Linked DNA regions of Cricetulus griseus. The protein of the gene in region 1 purifies or fractionates together with the protein of each later gene. This does not show direct contact. Links are inferred from orthologs where the notes say so. Each region holds a gene or a part of one and is shown on either strand. Other genes may lie near its edges.

Region 1 (4,019 bases):
TGACTGCTGTTCTACCAAATTGGAATGAGTAGGTTTTATTGCAAATGCTTTTTTGATTCCATTATTGCTATCTGCCCTATTTTATCCATTTAAAAATGGTTTGGGATTCATTAAACCATGAATTACAAATGCTTTAGAAATGGATGTGCAATTCAGAGTCAGTCACATAAAAGAACTTTTATATTTACTTAATTGGACTAGATTTTTCTCTTTGTTTAAGATTTTTGCTATTTTTTCTTAGATTTTCGTGCTGGACACTAAATACAACAATTTCAAAAGATGATATGCTTGCATAAATACATATTTTTCAAAGTTATAAATATAGTTGGAGTCAGAAAAGAATTTTAGATTAGCTGTAATATATTGCAACAAAATCATTACAAATGAAGACTTTTATGTAGGTAATTCCTTCATAGATTAAGCACCACTTTGCTTACTGGGACCCACTTTTGTGACTGTTGGGAACAGGAGCTTAGAAATAGTAGGTTTCTCTGTACTATGCACTGCAGAGGTAGCCTAGGCTGGAGGGTGGTGAGGTCACCTTGATAACTAGCTAACAACTCATGCCAAAATCTCCAGTATTTTCTGATACGCTATGTTCATATTGGAAGCCAGGGAGCCATGGTTTAGGGAAAAACAATAGGAGCTAGGAATGAACATGTCAACATAGGGACCTAGTTTATGTTAATAGAATCCACTCCTTACCTCTTCAACCAGCTGCAGCATGCGACGGGTGCTTTCCAGGGACTAAGATGGAAAAACATAAACACTGTTAAAGGCACTAACAGAGCACTAGGCAAGTCAGAAATGCTTTCTTCACATGAGAAACACAAAGGTCCCTATCACACATGACTTACACTTTGCAACAGAAACACCAAATGTCTTCCCAGTTTCAATCTCTTTCTACATGATCAGATTTCCCAGAGCAATCATATGAAAGCTTATCTTTATAAAACCAAAACCATATGAGGCTGATCTTGATATCAAAGGCAAAGCAATCTGGACAAATCATTTTGTATGCTCTGGATGCCTGGAAAACTATCTCATATACTTCAAGGACTACTTTGGCCTCCCTGAACTAGGGATATTGAATTTTAAACACAAACATAAGTTTTCATGAGGAGAGATGAGTTTAACGAGTTTCCTTTAAAACTCCTTGAAACACAACTGGAAGTTGTTATCAATACAAATTAAGCTGTCGCCTTAGGGTGAAAAAAAATCAAGCAAGTTTGCAATAACTATCCCATAGGAGACAGCTGTAATTACCTTCATTTTTAGATAAGAAAAAAAGCATGAAGAAAGCTTTGAGCTTGGCAGCTGGTCCCTCAGGCACAGCATCACCACTTTGTTCTCAGTTCCTTTAACATAGCTCCACTGCAACAACCAGTGTGATTTCTCAAAACCATGCTTTCAAATAGCAAATTTATGTTGGACAAGTTTCTGCAGGAGCCTGAAGGATGTGAATTTTTGCTGCAATGGACTTAAAGTGGACTCCCTTTTGTAATAAAATAGCTATTATCAGTGATGTGTTGGCAAAATGCTCTGACTCTGGGAAAAAATATAAATACATTTATGTATCTTTGCATCTATTGTAAGGCTGTGAAACACAGAGAGCACAGAGTTGACACATGATGCAACACAGCATCCTTGGTTAGCAGTTCTGTGTAGCAGGTTGATTCTCACCCAAAACTCCTGTCAGTTTTTTTTTTTTTTGTGTGTGTGTGTGTGTGTGTGTTGTCTATCTATGACTCCTCATATGATGAACTAGTATAATTCTAACATGGTCACTGCAACTGGATAACTTCACTCATGTTCATGAATAAGAAGAACCTGAAGCAGTGACGACTTAATGTTAGAATTAGTCTCATTAGTAAAGAAGGTGATGTTTTTGTTGAAAAATAAGTTTCCAAATAATGGAGGACTTCCTCAAAATTTCTTATATTTCAAAAACATTTTTACTGTTTGAGAATGCCTTACAATGAATTTTGATCATATTCACCTCTTCCACTCTTACCCCTAGCTCCTCCCTGATCCAACCCTCCCTCCCCACCCAACTCTGTATATTATTTTCTTAATGTAATAGCTACAGACATACATAATTAAAAAGTTTTATCTAGATTATTAATATTTTCCCTTCTGTCTTAACTATAGGTAATCAACAAACAATAAAGCAAGCACAACTGATATTGTTTGCCAATGACTGGTTCTCAATAATTGCTTTTGATTTGGTTTCTGAGTGCAGTGTGGTAAACTGACTCTGCAGTTTCCATTTCTTACATACAGTGAGTGTAAATGACTCAAGGGCATAGATAGCAGAAAAAATGTGCTAAACTAGCTACAAGTAATGACTTTTGAGCTCATAATACCATTGCTTTAATTATATATATTTATTTTCAAATTATGTACTTCAATTTTAGTAATAGCCACACTTAGTAACCTTCATTACTGAGGTAACCATGGCATACTGTTAGGTATCTAAAGATAAAGTTTTTCCTAGAGGACCCTGCCCTCCCAAGTGTCTAGGAGTCCTGCCTCAGGGCTGAGATGTTAATTTGTATTTGCGCCTTATAATCAATCCTGTCTAGCCTGCAGGAATCTTAGAGAAAAAGGAAGTTCTTTTTTCACCTTAAAAAAAAAATTAGACATTGAAGAATTCTTTTCTCAAAATCTGAATTGAAACCACCCACCTTCCAGTGTTGGGCTTGCCCCCTGCCTCTCTATGCCTTACCTCATCAGCCAGCTGGTCAGCCCTCCTCTGCATCTCTTCCAGCTCATTGCGCATATCTGCGTCTTCGGCCATGGTAATGGTAGGGGGTTGCTGGGCACCTGGACCAGCAAGTCAGCAATGGATTTGGCTACAGAACCTGAGTAGAAGCATATTGGAGAATATGAGAGCTAATATGAATGACTGCATACTGGAAAGTCTAAGTGTCACACTGTCACCAGGGTTTAGATAACTTCTGAACTGGAAGCCAAGCGCAGATAAGAATCAATAGAATTGTGTCATTTCTCCAAAAAGTACTGGGAATGAGTGTTTTATCAACCCCATCACTAAAACAGTCACATATTGGTATGTTTTATGATAGCTTGGCATTGTTGTCCAGGTTGGCCTTGAGCTCACCATCTTTCTGCTTCAGCTTCTGAGTGTTTCAATTACAGGTTGTAACATGAAAAATAAATGGACCCAGAGACAGATATTGGGGTTCAACCTGAAGATCAGGGAAGCAAAGCAGTCAAGCTACCAAAGTGCTCTTACCTCTAACAAGGCTGAGGCATTCCTATTCTCAATGTGGCTGGAGAATGAATACCTGACACTGAGACCTAGTTCCTGTCTTATATACCTTCCTAATGCTGGGATTAAAGGTGTGTGATCCCAGGTGCTGGGATCATCTTTATGTGAGCTGTTTCTCTCTTTAGGACTGGATACTTCTTGTGTAGATCTGGGTCGTCTTGGACTCACAGAGATCTGTTTACCTCTTAATCTTAGTCCTATGACTAAAGGTATGTACCTCCACTTCCTAGCTTCTGGCTTCTGGGATTAAAGAAGTGTGCCTGGCTTCTATGGCTTGTGGCTGACTTTGCTTTCTGACTCCTCAGGCAAGCTTTAATAAATCATAAATAACATATCACCACAGCAGGTTCACAGGAACATAAATGGCTTCATCTAGAGTATTTTTTTAAAGACGCAAACCATACAAAGCTTGGGAATGATGTGGTGAACAATGCAGGCCATTGTTCTTATATTTTTTAATGTTATATTTATTTAGTTATATTTAACAGTTTTATTGAGAAACAGTTGACATATTTAAAAACATACACATTTAAATACAGCGCACATATCTAAATCATACAGTTGTAAAACACTCAGTAACCCACTGCTCTGAAAAAGAAAATGAGCCAGTCCATTAATCCCCCACCAAATTTCTGTATACTCTTTGTTATTCTACCTGCTATTCTCTACATCCTCCTATGTCGAGGAAGCTGTTGACCTCCCTTTTGTCACTATAGTTGGTATGTCT
Region 2 (4,257 bases), on another chromosome or scaffold:
ATCACCAGGGTTGATTCGGCTGATCTGGCTGCTGTATCTGTCACCCATTGATCACCAGGGTTGATTCGGCTGATCTGGCTGCTGTATCTGTCACCCATTGATCACCAGGGTTGATTCGGCTGATCTGGCTGCTGTATCTGTCACCCATTGATCACCAGGGTTGATTCGGCTGATCTGGCTGCTGTATCTGTCACCCATTGATCACCAGGGTTGATTCGGCTGATCTGGCTGCTGCATCTGTCACCCATTGATCACCAGGGTTGATTCGGCTGATCTGGCTGCTGTATCTGTCACCCATTGATCACCAGGGTTGATTCGGCTGATCTGGCTGCTGTATCTGTCACCCATTGATCACCAGGGTTGATTCGGCTGATCTGTCTGCTGTATCTGTCACCCATTGATCACCAGGGTTGATTCGGCTGATCTGGCTGCTGTATCTGTCACCCATTGATCACCAGGGTTGATTCGGCTGATCTGGCTGCTGTATCTGTCACCCATTGATCACCAGGGTTGATTCGGCTGATCTGGCTGGCTAGGAATCACTGGCTCCCTCACTGCTCCATGTGTGCATCTTCCAAAGCTGCCTTCGTGCTTGGTCATAGAGGAGGACAGTCTTCGGTCAAAGGTATACGAGTAGCTGCACTCCTCAGCTAGAACCTCCAAACAAGCTCTCAAGAATCTATGCCAGGTCCTACACTTACTATACAGCTTAATACTTAAATACAGACTATTCCACAGAAAGATATTCAAATTAGGTTTAATCTTAGTGAGAAAACTTCAGCCTTGAAACAAAATTCTCTTTCTTTTTTTGTTTTGTTTGTTTTTCAAGACAAGATTTCTTTCTGTGTCCCTGGCTGTCATGGAAGTAACTCTGTAGACCAGGCTGGCCTCAAACTCACAGAGATCTGCCTGCTTCTGCCTCCTGAGTGCTGGGATTAGAGGGTATGCCACCACCACCCAGCACAAAATTTTAAAAATTTTTATTTATTATTTTTGAGTGTAAATGTGGAACATACATACAAACTAATGCAAACACACACAGTACACTTGCAGGTAAGAGTGTGGAGGGCAGAGTACAACTTTGTGCAGTTAATTTGTCCCTTCCACCTTTACATGGGCTCTGGGGAGCAAAGCAGAGCAAGCACTTTACCCCTGAGCCATCTTGCCTGCCCCTTGAACCAGGATTTTCTGATCTAACCTGTATTCCTGCTCCTTGACAAATGAGAACTGGAACACAAAGTACCATACTTTCTAAGCATCGATCACATTATTGTTGTTTTTAATATCTGGGTTTCACAAGCTGAATGTTCTTCCTACCACCAAACACCTACTCCTAACCCTACCCTCACCAGAAACCTACCTCTCAAATTCTACAATTTACATTTAGATTTAAAAGCAAAGTGACAAGCTGAGTTTGGTAGTACACGACTTTAATCCTAGCACTCGGGAGGCAGAGGCAGGTGGATCTCTGAGTTCAAGGCCAGCCTGGTCTACAAATAAGTGAATTCCATGACAGACAGAGCTAGAGAAATTCTGTCTCAAAAGTAAAATAAAAGCAATGCAAAGTGACTGCTTTAAAGTGTAGAACATAATTGTAATTCAGAACTGACCCTAACAGTATAGTTAAGCTCTCTAAAACACAATAACACAGATAGTTGTCACCTTTTTTTTTTTTTTTTTAAAGTAAAGCTGCCTCTGTTGTTCTGTTCACAAGGCTCTAGGCTGATTCTGAATCTCTAGAAACAGCCTGTATTTGACTCTCAGCTACAATCTTAGACTCTAATGGTGAGGAGTGAGTTTTAAGGCAAGCAGTTACAGACTACATACTCACTCGGTATGTAGTTGTAGCCAAGCGTCTCTGTGTATCAGATTTATACAAGAATAGCTCAACTGAGACAAAAAACGAAATATCATGCTTGAAATTTAAAAAAATAAATACTTCTTTGCTACAAAAGACAACGTAAATTAAAATGTTCCCGGTGCATTCTCTAACAAAACAGGAGTCCTCCCACCCCTTAAATACCAGTCACTGACTCTGATTTCCAAATTAATTACAGGAAGCACAGTGTATTAAGTCACCCAAACACACGCATTCGCCACTTCCCTTAATTGAAAGTTGCTGATGTCCCAGGACCCAACCGCTGAGCAGAATGTGAACCTAAAAGCCCTTAACCAGCAAGCAACCCCTGATCCAAACTGTGGAAAGCGAGGTGGGTGGAGAGACGGCGATGACAGGGAAAATTCGGCTGACCACTGCGTCAAGTCAAGACTGTTGCTCACAGTCCTGGAGATGACACACACTCCCTCCCACCCTCGGGCTGTCAAGTAGGCTCTGTTGACCCAACACCGTGAAATCACAATGCCTGAGACAGGGGTGTGGACCTGAAGGGCCCGAGCCTGACCGACCCGCCGAAGGCAGCTCGCCGCGCCCGGAGTGGAGGCTCTCGACGGCCTCGGCTGTGGCCCTGGCTGCGACCCTGACCGGGCTCCGCGTCGTGGCGACCTCAGCCAGGCCTGTCCCTCGGGTCGCCCCCCGCGGCCCCCCGCTCCCAGCTGGGTCCCCTCGCTCACTGGCTTGACTGATCCGCTGGATGTTGCCACTGCACGTCTGGATGATGCTGTTGAAGTCCCGGAGCTGGGGCCCCGAGGGCCCGGGATTCCGATACATGTCTAAGGGACCGTAGGACATCGACAACGAGCAGAGACCGGGTCGCGCTTCGCGGCGCTCCTACCGGAAGCTGCCAGTAGCCAGGCTCCGCAGCTGAGAGGAAAACCGGGAAGAGAAAGGGCGGGGGGCGGGGGGGAAAGGAGCGGCGACTGCGTGCGCACTGACCCCGCCCACTGACAATGCGCACGCGCACGCGCACGCTCTGCCCCTCCCCACCCCACCCCCCGCTCCCGTGGTGCGCGTGCGCCGCTGTCACTTGAGAGTTTTCAAACTGCTGGCAGAGCGTGTCCCCGCAGAGCCCCGCGCTCGGCCACGTGCCGCCCGCCTAGATGCCGGTCCGCATCCTGCTGCTGGGCGCAGCATTGGCGCTTAGCCACCCTGCAAATCTTTGCTTTTCCAACCCGTGTCAAAACCGAGGTGAATGCATGAGCGTGGGATCGGACCGGTACAAATGCGATTGTACCCGGACAGGATTCTATGGTGAAAACTGTCCAACACCTAAACTTCTGACAAGGATAAAATTACTGCGGAAGTATACGGCCAACATGGTGTACTCCATGCTTGCTTACTTCAAGGGAATCTGGAACACTGTCAATAACATTCCCTTCCTGCGGAATTCAGTCATGAGATAGGTGTTGCCCGCCGGGTCGCATTTGATTGACAGCCCACCAACTTACAAGGTGCACACCACACCTACAAAAACTGGGAAGCCTTCTCTAACCTCCACTACCACAGAGCCCCTCCTGCTGTAGCAGATGACTGCCCAACTCCCATGGTGTGAAAGGGGGGAAAGGGCTTCCTGATTCAAAAGGTTATGGGAAAAGTTCATCCCTGGTCCCTCCAGATTTGGGGGATGCTAGACAGGGCAAATGACATCAAATAGCTGGGAGCCCATTGAATACGTTTTCCCAGTCATCTTGTGTCTCCCCAGAGTCCGCTGACAGCATGCAAGAATTTTCGATTTGCATAAAAGTGTATGAGATTTCCTCAACCCTACTTCCTATTCTGTTCTGTTCTGAGAACCCAGACTCAAATATGGGAAATTAAGCAATCTTGAGCTTCAGATCTGTAGCCAATTAGCAACTCTTACGGATTGCAAACTACTTTTATTCCTCCCTCCAATCCTAATTTAAGCAATAAACTAGTAACATTTGTTGGGCACATACTGTGTGTGAATCCTCACTTTAGGTCACTGGTTCATAAACACTTCACAGCAAGGAAGCATCTCATTTTTATCTATAAAGTAGATTTTAAAAATTAATTTTTTTTTAGCCGGGCATTGGTGGCGCACGCCTTTAATCCCAGCACTTGGGAGGCAGAGGCAGGCAGATCTCTGTGAGTTCGAGACCAGCCTGGTCTACAAGAGCTAGTTCCAGGACAGACTCCAAAGCCACAGAGAAACCCTGTCTCGAAAAACGAAAAAAAAATTAATTTATTTTTGTTTTATGTGCATCGGTATTTTGCCTGCATATATGTATGGGTGAGGGTGTTAGGTTCCCTGGAACTGGAGTTACAGACAGTGGGTGCTGGGAATTGAACCTGGATCCTTTGTAAAGGCAGTCAGTTCTCCCAACGGCTAAGCCATCTCT

The links.
Region 2: the proteins of Snap25 (region 1) and Stx12 purify together in Homo sapiens (co-immunoprecipitation; 3 studies listed by BioGRID and IntAct, with this or other methods). This does not show direct contact. The link is inferred for Cricetulus griseus from reciprocal best matches to the Homo sapiens genes SNAP25 and STX12.

The regions. Positions count from the first base shown.
Region 1 is NC_048599.1:41,904,731-41,908,749, forward strand, and holds the start of Snap25 (synaptosomal-associated protein 25), read right to left. Parts: upstream 2,801-4,019; coding exon 2,729-2,800; intron 748-2,728; coding exon 706-747; intron 1-705.
Region 2 is NC_048595.1:20,383,130-20,387,386, reverse strand, and holds the start of Stx12 (syntaxin-12), read right to left. Parts: upstream 2,801-4,257; 5' UTR 2,690-2,800; coding exon 2,572-2,689; exon of another isoform or gene 2,058-2,571; intron 626-2,057; exon of another isoform or gene 385-625; intron 1-384. UniProt on the Homo sapiens protein: SNARE promoting fusion of transport vesicles with target membranes. Together with SNARE STX6, promotes movement of vesicles from endosomes to the cell membrane, and may therefore function in the endocytic recycling pathway.